Linked DNA regions of Tamandua tetradactyla. The main gene of each other region encodes a partner of the protein of the gene in region 2 in a complex. Links are inferred from orthologs where the notes say so. Each region holds a gene or a part of one and is shown on either strand. Other genes may lie near its edges.

Evidence for each region.
Region 1: TAF1C (region 2) and RRN3 share a complex: the UniProt entries of both Homo sapiens proteins name them as parts of the pol I pre-initiation complex. The link is inferred for Tamandua tetradactyla from reciprocal best matches to the Homo sapiens genes TAF1C and RRN3.

The regions. Positions count from the first base shown.
Region 1 is NC_135349.1:37,315,044-37,322,915, reverse strand, and holds the start of RRN3 (RNA polymerase I-specific transcription initiation factor RRN3), read right to left. Parts: upstream 3,072-7,872; 5' UTR 2,908-3,071; coding exon 2,819-2,907; intron 1,621-2,818; coding exon 1,515-1,620; intron 718-1,514; coding exon 661-717; intron 1-660. UniProt on the Homo sapiens protein: Required for efficient transcription initiation by RNA polymerase I (Pol I). Required for the formation of the competent pre-initiation complex (PIC).
Region 2 is NC_135342.1:78,858,742-78,866,888, forward strand, and holds the start of TAF1C (TATA box-binding protein-associated factor RNA polymerase I subunit C), read right to left. Parts: upstream 3,038-8,147; 5' UTR 2,883-3,037; intron 2,877-2,882; exon of another isoform or gene 2,620-2,876; intron 1,065-2,619; 5' UTR 1,064-1,064; coding exon 926-1,063; intron 249-925; coding exon 167-248; intron 1-166. Other genes in the region: ADAD2 (adenosine deaminase domain-containing protein 2), read left to right, coding at 7,846-8,147. UniProt on the Homo sapiens protein: Component of the transcription factor SL1/TIF-IB complex, which is involved in the assembly of the PIC (pre-initiation complex) during RNA polymerase I-dependent transcription.

The DNA.
Region 1 (7,872 bases), on a different chromosome or scaffold from region 2:
GCAACCTTTGGAGATGAAGAAGGAAAACGCCTTCTGGGGTGCTTCACGAAACCGGAAGCCAGGAGAGAAAACTAGCAGATGATGCCGTGTTCACCATGTGCCCTTCCACCTGAGAGAGAAGCCATGACTGTGTTCACCATGTGTCTTCTCACTTGAGAGAGAGACCCTGAACTTCATCTTGAACCAAGGTATCTTTCCCTGGATGCCTTTGATTGGACATTTCTATAGACTTGTTTCAACTGGGACATTTTCTCGGCCTTAGAACTGTAAACTAGCAACTTATTAAATTCCCCTTTTTAAAAGCCATTCTGTTTCTGGTATATCGCATTCCGGAATCTAGCAAACTAGAACAAGGTGTTAGAAAGGAAGAAAATAAAGCACAGTAGGATGTTTGGCAGCATCTTTGTCATCCAACCACCCATGAATGCCAGTAGCACTTTCCACCTTCTTCTCCCACCATGTTGTGACAAATGAAATGTTTTCAGGCATTATGAAATGTCTCCTTGGGGGCAAAAATGCCCCTGGCTGAGAACCATGCATTAAAATGAGAAGGTATCCTGAAGAAAGCCAGTTCAAGAGGATGGAACAGAACCCAAAGTGCAAATCAATGCCTATACAAAACAGTGATATTTGCTAATGACCAAACACAAAATTAGTTACCTTTATGTCTGGATCTGACAGCTGATTCTTCAACAACTCAAAGTCAGTAGTTTCACCCTTTTACAAGAAGGGAAAAAAAAGAAGTTAAGCTTGATTTAGTTTCCTATAAAAGTTCAACAGCAGGACTTTTAATTATCCCTTAACATCTGATGAAATTACAATGGGAACACTGTAACTTTTACGAAAAGGTATATTACAAAATCGTAACTATAAAAAGTTAAAAACCCACGTTAATGGGGCCAAGGTGACTGAAAATAAAAAAATGACAACCAAAAAGCCATTCATAACTAGTTACGTATATATCTGTGTACTGACATTTGCACAAGTTGACAGTCTAATGATTTTCAAAGCATATATGAAAAAAATTCACTGTAATGATTTAAAGAGCAACTAAGATGTTACCCATTCACATACATAGCTATAAATGTACATTTTATATATATGGAAAATCATTTATATTTTCCCCCCACTTCTGAGATTTAATAGCATCATTTGTAAACTAACACTAAAGAACAATCAAAAACTCGCATCAACAGAGGTGGTTTAATGTCCTCACATATTATCCTTAGATAATTTCTGAGGAAACATAAAACGTTCTGCTGTAATGTTTTCTATTTTATCACCTGCTAAAGTTTTCGAAAGATCTGGTATAAATAAAGCATTTGAAAAGGTGAAACCTCAGCAAAGACTTATTACCCCAATTTTGAGCTGACAGCATCATGCTCTTATTGAGTATTTCAAGCCCAATATCTAAAATTCATTTTAAACCATGTCTACTGGTCTTTAGGATAGCATCTATGGTTGTATTCTGAACAATAAAAAAAACAATCATCACATGTTATTTCCTCTTTTACCTTCTTGTACTTCAGTAAGACTTCTGTTACAGTTCCACCAAAACGAACAGCTTTTCTTGGGGGAGAATTGAAGAAATCATTCTCTAGTACAAGCATATCTGAAATTCTGTAGAACCAAGATTATCAAGCTAGTAAGTGCATGACAGAGAATATATCTACTGAACCAAACAATCAACATCATTCAATGGGATGACTGCAAAAGCTTCCTAACTGGCTTCCATTCTTGTCCTCCAATAATTCATTCTTCCCTCAGCCAAATAATGTTTTAAAAGATCATTTTAGAAGACCTTTTAAAAGATCATTGCCTTAAAATTGTCTTCAAGGTCCTGCATTGCTCTGACCCCTGCCAACCCTCTGATCTCATCTCCAACCACTTGTGCTAATGTAGACATAGTGTCCCTGCTGTTATTCAAACCTGTCAAGCTGTTCCTCATTTCACTTGCCATTCCCTCTATCAGAAGCACACTTTTCTCTGGTCTTGACATGGCTGGAATCTTATCTTCATTCAAGTCACAGCTCAAATGTCAATTCAGAAGCCTTCCTCACCTGACCACCTTCTCTGTTCCCCCTTTGCAATACTTACCACTATTTGAAATCATCCTGTTTATTGATTTATTGGCCTATTTACTATACTTCTCCCCTAGACTGTAAGCTCCTTGAGCACAGGGACAGACCTTGCTTTTTGTGAGAGACTCCTGTCTTACCGTTTAACACAATAAGAAAAGACAGTACGTAGGCAGTCAATAAATATAGTGAATGGTGTTATGCTAAGTAAGGTTTGCCTCACTTAAACAAAGTAGCTTAGTGGAAAATCATAGCATCCTACTAATGACTTGTTAAAATGTTTTAAGGGGGGAAAAGAGTCTTAAAAGTTAAGCGCAAGGAAAAAAATTATTAAAATGTTAGGTCAAATTCCAAACAAACAAGAATTTCAGATTCAATCTGCCATCAGTGACAGCATTTGGCTGATAGAACAAACAGCCCAGGGAATTCCTTTCAAATCTAGACGAGAAACCGGGAGGAAAGAGTAAAAGGAATGAACGTCATTATCTAGGCCCGAAACGCTATGAAGGAGCCCAGCGGGAGCATAAGGGGGTCTCTGATACAGAAAATGAGCTCGTTTTCCAGTGCCCCTCTCAACTCCATTAAAAATGAGAAGAGGCTCATTTTTAAGAACGCGGGACAACTCTACCCTTACTTCCATTCCTCTTCATCATTGTCCCAGACCTTTTTCAGATCCGCTGTTCCAACCCTGGGTTTTGATCCCAGATGCGTAACATAAAAAGGCCCAGACTCTTTCTTACCCAGTCTTGGACGACCCCAGTGCCTTGACAGAAGAGGCCGAACCGGCCGAATCCCCTGGAAACCGCGTGTGAAGCAGCGGGGCCGCCATTGGGCCAGACTAGCGCGACTGCTGCGCCTCGCGCCGGAAATCGTCCTCCCTGCAGCCACCGTCTCTGGCCCGGAAGTCGGGCGGGCAAGTGGCGGCCTTTCTTTCTCAGCCCAACAGAGAACCCACTTGGAGAGAGCGTAGAGCGTTCAGCGGGCTAGAGTGCCGCCAAAGCTTTCTCCTCTCGCCCCCACCAGGCCCCTCCTACCACTCGGAGGACTTTCACCGCCCGGGTTGGCAGAGCGTGCAAAGTGCGGCCTCCTACCACCGGGAGAAGGGAGGTATGAAAAGCTGCATTCCGTCCAGTCTTGAAGATCCCACGACAGGGTTCAGCAGCTGCTGGGTTCCTCTGAGTGTTAACTTTTGGAGTCAGAGTATTCCTCAGGGCTTTTTACCACTATTATAATTGAAGAGAAATGAGGAAACTGAGTTTAGCCGATGATTAACGCATAGAAAAGGGGCGGGCTGGGGATTCGAACGAAGTTGCCTGACCCCAGGAGCATGGGCTCTATACTCACTATCGTCACAGACACCCAAGATAATCTTATCCTCAAGGAAAATAGAACTTGACGAAGTGACTTCCGTAAAAGTTTCAGAGCTGTAAGTGTGGATGTTGAAGTGAGAAATCAGAGGAGAGAGGGGACAGTTTCCTAGGGGCGTTAACTTTTGAACCGGAGGGCTGGGAGTCAGCCACACCAAGGATGCAGTAAAGCGTCTTCCAGTCACTGGGAACCGTAGGTGCCAAGCCATGGGGAGAGGGGCGGGGCAGAATAGACCTCTCCTCCCCGCAGTTTCTAAGAGGGGAAAAATGTTACACTTAGAAACTATACACAACTATCAAGAGTACATAAAACCAGCTACAGCGTACATTTTAAATTTAAAGCACAGTTCTGTTTTACAACAGTGTTAAATAGTAACTCTGTTGTCCTCATTCGGTCCCACCACCATATATTCCCTCACTGCTTTAGCGTTCATGGGGAATGTTGGGCAGAAATCATCAACGTCCCTAGAGCAGAGGAAATAATTCCGCTTTATCTTCAAGACAGCTGTTTAAATGGGAATATCTTTCCCTCTCCCCCAAGCAAAAACAAAATTTTAAAAAATCACAATTCGTTAGGGCTCTCATACACAGTCAATAGACCTGCAACTTGTGGACTGTCAAGCAATTTGGTAATTACTGTATTCTTTCATTTAAAAACTTGGTATGTACAAAATAGTATATGATAACGTTCTAATGTATATAAAACATAATCACACCTTCTCCCTGATTTCCTCTCAAAGGTTTCACTATCCTGATACATTTTTTAAATTTTTATTGTAAGATTTATAACAAAACTTCTTATATTAACTACTTTCACGTGTACCATACAGTGATTCTCTGTTACCATCAGCACCAAGCATTACCGGAACTTTTTCAGCACACCAAACAGAACCTGAACCCATTAAGCTGTAATTTCTCTCCCTCCTCTCCACAGCCCCTGATAACCTGTAATATACTTTATCTTTATGAATTTGCTTATTCTAGGTGTTTCATATAAGTGTCTAGCTTATTTCACTTAGCATAATGTTTCAAGGTGCTTCCATGTTATAGTGTATCTGAATTACATTACTTTTTACTGCTGGAAAATATTCCTTTGTGTGTCTGTATATATTTATACACACACAGCACATATTATCCATTCATCTGTGGGATGCTTGGGTCATTTCCACCTTTTGGCTATTGTGAATAACACTGCTGTGAACACTGGTGCATAAATATCTATTCAAGTCCCTGTTTTTAATTCTTGGAGGTAATAAACCTAGAAGTAGGATTATTCAGTCATATGGCAATTCTATTTTTAATTTTTTTGAGGAACCACCAAACTGTTTTCCACTGTGACTGTGCCATTTTACATTTCCACCAACAGTGCAAAAGTGTTCCTATTTCTGAGCATCCTCACAAATACTTGTTATTTTTGTTTGTTTTTTATAATAGTCACCCTAATGGGTATGAAGTGGTATCTCACTGTGGTTTTGATTTTCATTTCCCTAATGGCTAATGATGTTGAGCATCTTTTCATGTGCTTATTTGGCATTTATGTTCTTTAATGAAATGTCTATTTAAATCTTTTGCCCATTTTTCCATTGAATTTTTGGTGTGTTTTACTGGTGTTTTGTAGAAGTTCTTAAAAATATATTCTGCATACTGTCCTGATTTTCAAAAATGTTCTAACTTTTCTTTATGTAATTACCATATTTAATTTCTCTCTAAGCAGATACTGTTTACTTTTGCTTTTCTTTGAATTTTATAAAAGCTGCTTTCTTTTTCATTCATTATCCCTCTGAAATCCATCTCTCTTGTATGTAGTTGTGATTTATTTGTTTTCTCTGATATAATTCCATCACAGGAATAAAGTAGGATTTATTTATCCATTCTAGACATTTACATTGTTTCCATTCTTTTTTATTTGCATCATTATTTCATTGCTGCTATGAATATTCTTGTGTAGTCTACTGATGCCATATGCACATTTTTCTAGGGTAAAATTGTTGCCTTGATAGCTATACAACAGATGGTTAAAGAGCTTTCTGAAGTGATTGTACCAATATACCCTCTCAGCAATATACTCACCTTAAGCTTGAGCACAGGTCCTTCCTTATTTCCATAGCACACCTAAAACCAAGCTACCATGATTTTAAACAATTGAAATGGAAGCCTAAGAATAATACAAGAGAAAACTTAAAATCAAATAGCATAATTCACTACTTGAGTTATTTTCTCATGCCCTTTCATTGGAGATCCTCTAGTTCATCCTGTTACATGGGCCCACTTGTGTTTCTGAGTTAAAAGCCCCCTTCATCTAGTCTTGCCTTCCCCAGAGCCCCAACTTCAAGTATTTCCAGCTCTAATCCAAGAAAATAAAGCATCCATCTCCAAAGAAGGTGTTAATATACTACCTTGAAAAGATGCAGCCTCACCCATGGTGAAGTCATCCTTTTACAACACTATCCTTTATAGTTATTTCTAATTGTTCTAAACTTCTTCATTCCAAAATGAATTTTTCCTTTACTTTCATATACCCAGATGGCCCATTAAACTTTTCTTTCAAAAGAGCAGTCTTTCCTTAGAGATGAATTTTTCTATCATCCCTAGAACAATAGGAGGTAGTTCAATTGCTTAAAGCCTTTTGGCTTGCAAGTAATAGAAACTAACTTGACCTAGCTTACACAGAAAGGGAATTTTTTTCCTAAGTATACAAGGATATCTTAATGCACCAGAAAATAACTTTTCATTGGACAAGCTTGTATCAATACTGGCTAGAGTGGGGAGGTGATGTTGTACCAAATGACTTCCAATGAACCTTTGCTATGGATGAGATGGCTACTATAAATACTCGACAAATGTTTTTCAAATGGCAGAGCGGTAGGGAGGATCCACATGGACAATTCTGAATAGGAAACCCAATAGTGTATATCTTATTTGTTCCTTTTCCCTTTCCAAAAAGAGTCAACAGTTACTTTGAGTCAATTATTATTTTTTAAAAAATTTATTTATTAATTAAAAAATTAACAAATGAAATAAAAATTAACATAGATAATCAGTACTTCACAATATCATCACTTAGCGAGTCAATTACTTTTATGAGAACTCCATTTGTTAATAAAAATGCACGTTCCCAATTGTAAATCTTTAGTCAGATAAATTGATTGATAGATGTGTGTGCATTTATGCCATTTCTTATTTATCAGTATTATAGAGAAGTAAGCATAAAGCTCAGTGTATCAACCTCAGCACTACTAATATTTTGGGCCTGATAATTATCTGTTGAGAGTAGGGTAGGGGAATAATAGGATATTTAGCAGCAACCATGACCTCCACAGTAGCATTTCCTATCCCACCCCACCATAGTAGCAGCAAAAATAAATCTGGACATTGCCAAATGTCCCCTGGTACTAAAATTTTAGTCCAGTTGAAGATACAAGACACATTTGAAACACTAAAAGGAAAAAAAGTAAAGCATAATATACCAAACATGTATTGTATATACTTAAAAAATTTCCATTTCTGCCTCTAATATTCTTGGTGGAACATTGGTAAATAAATGATTTCCCATCTTATTCTTCTGGAACACAATGGCAGTGATACATGAGTTTCTTATGCTATATAATTCCTATTTGGAACATGATTTTCATATTTTTACCAGAAGAATGCCACAGAGAGAAGTACCTTAATTTCCCCCAAATTCCTCAGCAGGCAAATGTATCTGACTGAAACTGTGAATCAATAAAGTATGTTCTATTGTTTTATTGGCATGTGTGCTGGTTTGAAACTGTTATGTACCCTAGAAAAGCCATGTTCTTCTAATCCATTCTTGTTGATGCAGACCTATTGTGGGTGGGACCTTTTAATTAGGTTGTTTCCATGGAGATGTGACCTACCCAATTAAATGGGTTCTTAATCCTCTTTACTGGAGTATTTTGTAAAAGGATGAAAAGACATAAAAGCTGAGAGAGCCCAGAGACGTTTAAAGAGAGATAAATGCCATGAGAGAAACAAGCAAGGACCCACAGAAGCCCAGAGACATTTTGGAGAGGAACAGCAAATGTCGCCCTGGGCCTTCACATGTGACAGAGGAACCCCAGAGGCCAGCAGCCTTTCCTTAGAAAAGGTATCTTCCTCTCAGTGCCTTAATCTGGACATTTTCATGCCCTAGAACTGTACATTTGTAACCTAATAAGTACCCTTTGAAAAAGCCAGCCCATCTCTGATATATTGCATTCTTGCAGCTTTAGCAAATCAAAACAGCATGATACTAGAAATTAGCTTTATCTGTGTTTCTAATCTGTCTTTGGTTGGTAGGGACTACCTAACCTTAGTTTTATCTTTGCCTATAGCCTTTCATTCGAAGAGTAGCCAATATCTATAATTGTCTATTCAACAAATATTTGTTGAACATCCAAGTACAAGACCCTGTGCCAGGCATTCAG
Region 2 (8,147 bases):
GGGACAGAAGTGGGGCCAGGTGTCCCAGGTGACTGGAGGGATCCAGGGACCCCAGGGGAGCAGAAAGCATCAGGAGGGTGAGGGAAGGCTTCAGGGGACAGAGGGCTGGGGAGAGGAGTGACAGGTGGGGCAGCCTGGGAGCCGACCAGAGGAAGGGGAGCCTTACCAGGACTAGGAGGCAGCAAGGGGAGGGGTCCAGGGGTCTCTGGCTCCCACCACAGGCCCTTGGCTGAGGGCAGTGCCACATTCTGCAAGAAAACCACAACCACGACAACAAGCGCTCCACTTTTACATGCTCAATTCAATTCACACAATCACCCTCCAAGGGTGGTACAACTGTAATTGCCACTTTACCAAGGAGGAAACTAAGGCACAGGGAGGTTAAGTCTCTTGCTGCAGGTCACAGAGCCAATAAGGAGAGGAGCTGGCATTGGAACCCAGGCAGCCTACAGGCAGGCTGTGGTTTTTACTCCCAGCGTCGTCCCTACTACACCCCGTTTCTGTCCCTTTGCTTCAAACTCAAAGCTATCACAATTTGAAATTATTTCATTCACTGATATGTTTGCTTGTTTACTCCTGCTCGACCATGAGTTCTGTGAGGGCAGGGATTATGATCTGACTCACTGCCAGTTTTCCTAGTACCTGGTAAGATGTCAGGACACGGTCAGGACTGTTCAATATGAACAAATGAAGGACTCGGACAGGGAGGCAGGACAGAATGAACCCCAGCTCTCACCAGGTAAGCCGTCCATGGACAAGGGCTTCCCACATACCTTGACAGGGCGGGCTCTGGCTCAGCCTGTGTCTTCATGGGTTTGGGCTACCACCGCCCACCCTAGGCCCTTGCCAACTGGTGTGCTAGGAAAGGGGACTCAATTCAACGGCTCATTCTGGAGTTCTCAGGGCCCCTTCCTACCCTCCTCACCTCTGAGTTCTGGGGCTGGGACAGTGGCAGGGTCAGTGCATCTCTCCAGCTGCACATAAAAGACAGGTCGGGGACACTGCTCAGTCCAAGGGGGCCCGTTGTAAACAAGGTGGGGCGGAGGGAGCTGGGGAAGTCCATTCTGGAAAACAAGAACCAAACTTTACCCTGGCCTTCCCAAGAGACTTGAATCTGATCACGGTCTCCAGAGTTTCTAGGGAGAGTAAAAAGTGCCCGAAGAGGAATCTACTTTCCTTGGTGAAAAACATACTGAAAAAGATATGACTATATAAGTCTAATGGAAAGTAACAAAAAGTTCTATATTAAAACATAACAACCAAACAACCACAAGAAGGGGTCAGTGACTGGCCAGGGAAAGTCTTGTTGAGTACATGGCATTTGAGCAGAGATGGCATCTAATGGGGGAGAGAATAATGCAGACAACTGGGAACAGGATTCCAGACAGAATGAAGAGCTAGTACAAAAGTCCTGGGGCAGGAAAGTGCTTGCATGTTTGGGAAACAAACAGGAAGCCACAGAGTGAACACGGAGAGTGGAAGGGAAAGTCAGACAAATGGTGATGGCTCAGTTTCTATCACAGTTCTTAACACCCTGTATTATCACTCTACTTTTGTAATCTAACTCCCAAGGCTGGACTCAAGTTCCCCCAAAGCCAGGGACTGAGTTGTGCTTATCCGTCTTCCCCCTGTCAAGCACAGTGCCTCCCAGAAAATGCACTTCCCAGAAAGTGTGTGTTGAATAAAAGTTTATTTTTATTAATGTGGGGGTTTTGGGAAATACAAAGTATTCTAAAAGTACAGGCAGCCATCTCCCTTTTAAAATTAAACACAAAAATAACAGCAGCACTCACTGAGTGCCATGGGCTGCCAGACATGGTGCTACATGCTTTCCTCTTCTTCCAGATATGCCTATTCTGGAGTTGAGAAGACTGAGGCTTGGTAAATGGCAACTTGCCCAAAGTCAACAGCTTATAAGTGCCAGACCCAAGACCTCAGCCCCCACCCCCTCATCCAATTCAAAGCCCGTGTACTGGACCACAACACACCTGTGCACCCAAGACCAAACAATGAGTAGTATCATAGTCTTAGGAGGTAAAAATCTTCTCCCTTGTGATGCACTTTACCAGTTTATGCTGTAGCTCTGCACGTCCACGTGTTTTCAGCACCACCCGTTATGCTAATGGCACAATGAGGGTCGAGTGATTCAGTGAGTCTCTTGGGGCACCCATCAACCTCACTGTAATCATAGTTTTCATGTATATCCTGTCTCCTCCACCAGACTGTGAGCTCTCTGAGGGCAAAGATTGTAACTGATTCATTCTTAAGTTCCTGGGGTCTGGCTGCTACTATTAATTTCTTTTGCACAATAGAAGAGGATAGTGTCGGGGGTCCCGCTGGTGCTCAGTGAATCTTTGTGAAAAGTCACTAGCTTCCATAAGAGGCTATCACACCTGCATTTCAGGTGCACCAAGCTTCCTCCCGACAGCCGCCACCTCAATAAACCAGCAGACACAAAAACACCTGCAGCTCATCTCCCTGTTCCGTGGATCCCAATCACGCTGACCTCCTTGGGGTCCTCCTCACTATGTTTCTTCTCACCACAGGACATTTGCACACTGCCCCTCTGCTTCGGATGAGCCCGTATCCATTCCCTCCAGGAGCCTCACAATATCCTACCTGTCCTTCAGATTTTGAGTCCTTTGTGTGCTCCTCAGGGAAGCGTGCAGACAGCCGCTACCCCGTTTCACATTTGTGGAATCGTCAGCCAGAGGCTACTAATAACCCACTTTGCAGATGTTAAATAATTCGTCCCAAAGCCACACCACTTGGGGCCTGCGGACCCGCGCGGAAGTAAACCGAGCTCCCCTCTCGGACCAGGACCGCCTCGCCGCCCGGCTGGCAGCGCTCTCTCCTCCCGTTCGAGTGGCCCGCGCACTTACGTAATCCGGGCTTCCGGGGTGCTAGTCAGAGAAATGGGAGCCCGCGCGACGCTCTTCTGTCCCTCCACGCGGGAGAGAGCCCTAAAGCCGCCACACTACCTTCAGCGAACCGCCGGGGTCAACACCCACCCACGTTGCGAACGAACAGTTTTCCGGGTCTGGCCGGAAGTGCCCCATCGGCGATAGGAAGTCCCGCCTCCCAGCTCGGGCTCCCTAGCGTCCTCGCGCGCCCCCTCCCGGACAGGGGAGGGAATGTGAAAGCCAGGTGGACGTGGTTTGAATCCCCACTTTGCTTGACCAACTTCCTTCCTGCTTGTTAGGGTTGATTTGCGTTTCAATTAATTCATTCAGCAGGCATTTACTGAGCGCCACTCAGAAAATGCTCCTGGGTTAGCCAGTGGGTAGCCCACTGATTGTCCTTGAACCCTAACAAGCTGGCTCCCTGGAGTACCTGGGGATTTTCCAGGGGAAGTTATTCAGGTATAGTTGCAGGCAGTGGGTCTCTATCAGCATCACCTGGAGGGCGGTTTAAACCAGGTTCTGATTCAGCAGGGGTGGGGTGCAACCTGATAATTTGCGTTCATCACTCCTGACATGCCTGTCAGGGGACCATGCTTTAAGGAACACTGCTCAGTGATAAATTCAAACCCAGTAGCTCTCAAACTTGAGTGTCCACCAGAATCCCTTGGAGGATTTGTTAAAACAGTGCGCTGAGGCTCACCCCCCAGAATTTCTGACTGGGGAGGTCTGGAGTATGGCCCAAGACTGGGATTTTTAAGAAGTCCCTGAGGGCAGGGGATGGGGGGGTGGAGGGGGTGGGCTGCTGACGATGCTGATTCAGGGATCAACTTTGAAAACCATTGCTTTAAAAGAAACCATTTCCAAATTCTTGACTTCCATCTATATAGTTTTGTTTTGTTCTCTGGGAGGAACTTGGAGTTGGGTGGTTCTCCTTTCCTGTATGGCCTTTCATAGTTGTTCTTTTCCCACCCATGGAGCATTGCCCCAGGATGGGTGCTGAACAAGGGGATGATTCCACAAAGCAGCGCTCCTACAGGAGCCCCCAGAAGATGAAGAAAAGCTGGGTGTGAGAAATAATGATGGAAGCGTACAGCTGTGGGGATTCTGGGGACTGAAAATTCTATTTCTTCATCTAGTGACGTGGGTGTGTTCAGTGTGTGAAAATTCATCTAATGATCTGTCACTTTTTTACATGTATGCATTTTTTGCATGTATATTATACTTCAATAAAGAAAAATACTGCTGGCTGTGATATCTTATTTCATCAAGACTTCGAACATCTGATTAGGCTATGTGCTGGTTTGAAAGGATGCATGTCCCCTAGAAAAGCCATTTCATAAATGCCATCTATATCCCATTTCATAAAGGCAGAATAATCCCTATTCATACTGTATGTTTGAAACTGTAATCAGGTCTCCCTGGAGATGTGATTTAATCAAGAGTGGTTGTTAAACTGGATTAGGTGACGGCATGTCTCCACCCATTTGGGTGGGTCTTGATAAATTTCTGGAGTCCTATAAAAGAGGAAACATTTTGGAGAATGAAAGAGATTCAGAAAGAGCAGAGAATGCTGCAGCACCATGAAGCAGAGAGTCCATGAGTCAGTAACCTTTGGAGATGAAGAAGGAAAACACCTCCTGGGGAGCTCATGAAACCAGAAGCCAGGAGAGAAAGCTAACAGATGACACATGTTCACCATGTGTCCTTCCAGCTGAGAGAAAAGCCCTGACTGTGTTTGCCATGTGCCTTCTCACTTGAGAGAGAAACCCTGAACTTCACTGGCCTTCTTGAACCAAGGTATCTTTCCCTGGATGCCTTAGATTGGACATTTGTATAGACTTGTTTTAATTGGGACATCTTCTCAGCCTTAGAACTGCAAATTTGCAACTTATTAAATTCCCCTTTTTAAAAACCATTCAGTTTCTGGTAGATTGCATTCTGGCAGCTAGCAAACTAGAACAGGCTACACGCCTAGAATTCAGAAGGTTGGGAACTCTGATTCCATTCATTGACAGACCATTCACTGATGTATCCCAAACATCCAGGAAAGTTCCTGGCATAGAGTAGAGGCTCAATAAATACTGAATCAGTGAAAGAGAATGAAATGAGATGGTTTTTCTGGGAAAATATCAACACATTTATTTAAATTGAAATTAACACCAGACTTTCTGATAGGAAGTAAATCTGAATTAAATGATTGATTTGACTATGAGATTTATCTGCTTGGCTTTGCCAATTAGATCATATGGAGAGTATTTTTCATAAATTGATGAAAACATATTTAAAGGACAATGATAATATATAATAAATCAGAAATTACACCTCTGTATTTAAATTTGGGATTAAAAATTTGGCATGTATAGTTTTTCAAAATTATTTTAGGGAGTAGGTAAGCAAAATATTTGAAGGCACTTATATGAGTTTTTTCTGTTGTAGCAAATCACCACAAATTTCGTGCCTTAAATCAACACTAATATATTATCTGACAGTTTTGGAAGTTACTAGTCCAAAATGGATCTCACTGGGATAAAACCAAACTGTCAGTAGGACTGCATTAATGGTACATGATTGGTTCGGTAGTAGAATTCTTTTGCCAAGTTCAATTCCCAGCCCATGCGCCACCACCACCCAAAAGAGAAAAGAAAATAGGACTGCATTCCTACAAGAGGTTTGTTCTGGTTTGCTAGCTGCTGGGATGCAACATACCAGAAACGGAATGGCTTTTAACAAGGGGTATTTAATAAGTTGCTAGTTCACAGTTCTAAGGCTGAGAAAATGTCCCAGTTACAACAAGTTTATAAAATGTCCAATTGAAGGCATCTGGAGAGAGATACCTTGGTTCAAGAAGGCCGACAACGTTCAACGTTTCTCTCTCAGCTGGAAGGGCACGTGGCGAACATGGCAGGTTCTGCTGGCTTTCTCGTAACTCTATCAAAAGGGGCTCTCTCCAAAATGTTTCCTCTTTTAAAGGATTCCAGCAAGCAACTCCACCTTCAGTAGGTGGAGACACACCTCCATGGATATCATCTAATCAAAAGTTACCACCCACAATTGGGTGGGTCACATCTTCATGGAAACAATCAAAATGCTCCCACCCAGCAATATTGAATGAGGATCAAAGGGCATGGCTTTTCTGGGGTCCACCACTGATTCAGACCGGTACAAGGTTCCAAAGAATCCATTTTCTTGCCTTTTCCAGATTTGAAAAACCGCCCATGTTTCTTGGTTCATGGCTCCTTCAATCTTCAAAGCTATCTTTTCTTTTTGTTATTAAAATATACTTTACATGTTGTAAAGTGCACAAATTTTAAGGGTGTAGCTTTTGGATTTTTTTGGGGGGGATTTGCATTTGGATTTTCTACAAATGCATAAAGCTGTGTAGCAACCACTCAGATCAAGATAGAAAACATTTCGATCACTCCAGAAAATTTTCCTGGTGCCACTTCCCAGTCATTACCCCTTCAGGAAGTCATCACTATTATGACTTTCATCACTATAGACTAGTCTGATCTCTTCAAGAACTTCATATAAATGGAATCATGTGGAGGATACTCTTTTGTGTCTGGCTTCTTTCACTCAACATTTCTGTAAGAGTCACCCATAATGTGTATGCAGCAGGAGTTTCTTTTGTATTATCGAGCAGTATTCCATTGTAGGAAATACACCACAATTTGTGTATGCATTCTCTTGTAAATGAACTTTGGGGATGTTTCCTGGTTTGGCAATTATGAAGACTCTGTTCATGTTCCTTTGTGGATATATTCAGCAGCCATTCCATTTTTGAAACCCTGTTGTCCCGTCCATTCTCTCTATGAGGACTAATTCCACCATTTGGGTAACACAAAAAAGCAGAATTCTTCTGAAGCCAACCCTTGAAACATTTGACTAGGTTGAAACTACCTTGGCCCCCCACACCTACTCCTTCCAAGATAAATGGTCTCTGTTCCACCAGTTGCTCCTCATAACCCAAAGTAGCCACACGGCCACAATTTGGTTAGCACTGCCAGGTCCAAGGGTAACGAGTAGCAGCAGCAGCAGCAGCAGCAGCAGCAGCAACTACAAAGACCACACATCTTACAGACACTGCTAACTGAGTGGCCATGTTTTTCCACTCAGAGTTAAAATTCGTAGCCCCCTTCAAGCAAATGTATGTTGTGCCCTACCAGGTCTTACATAAATGATCTTCATCCCTTACTTCACCTTATTTTCCCCTCACCCCTACCACCTCTCTTTACAAAGCCATTCCCAGCTGTGACATTTTTGTAAGTCAACTCAAAATCCCATGTTGGAAAAAAAAAAAATCCCATGTTGGGGTTAGCAGGGGTGTGCAGGAGAGTGGGCGTGTGGGGTGGGATGGAGGGGTGAGGAGTGAGCAGAGTGCCATTTTAATTTTAACCAAATGGCTAACTTTTGGCTGGAGATTCTCGTGGTTGGCTTCTTGCAGGCCTATAATCAACACTCTTACGGCTCAGATCCTAACGATTGTGGGGACTGCTACAATCTTGACAGCTTTCTTTTATCAAACAAGGACCGCAGCTCAGCAAGGTTAAGGAGCTCGGGAGGGCTGATGGAATGGGGTAGGTTTCGGGGGATCCTAATCCCTGTGGCTCCCACAGACTCTACCAGGACCACCCAGGGGCGGAGAAAAGGCTGCTGGGAGCGCCCCGCCCCGGAAGTGGGACGTGGGACCGGAAGCCTCCTCCGTGCCCCCCCTCCCACCCAGCCTACGTCCAGCATCCGGGCCTTGGCCACAGGGCAGGCGGGCCTTCCCATTGGCCGGGCAGGTGGGGGCGGTGGCTCCGTGCGCTGCCGGCCGCGTGCTCCCCACGCTGGAGTCGGCCGCGCCCTCGCGAGAGAGGGAGAGGGCCGCGCGAGATCCGGGCCGCGCGGGGCTCCCTGGGTGCGGGGGCCCGGCCGCGCCCTTCTGTCCTTGCGTACAGCCATGGCGTCGCCCGCCAGCGCGGCCTCAAGGGCCCCGCTCGCCCCCACGGCGGGCACGGACGACGGCGGCCGCAGGAAGCCCCGTCTGGCGGCATCGTTGCAGATCAGACCCGCGCCCGGCCCTTGGCGGCCCTCGCCCAGCCTAGGCCCAAATCCTTGGGAGCCCGAGCCTGCCCCCCGCGTGGAGGAGGCCGCTGAGGGAGGCGGGCAGCCTCAGGCCCCGCCTGCGGGGGACGGTGGGCCCGGGTTGGGGGCCGGAGTCGGGGATATGGGGGCAGCCCAGGCATGGAAAGACTCGGGGGG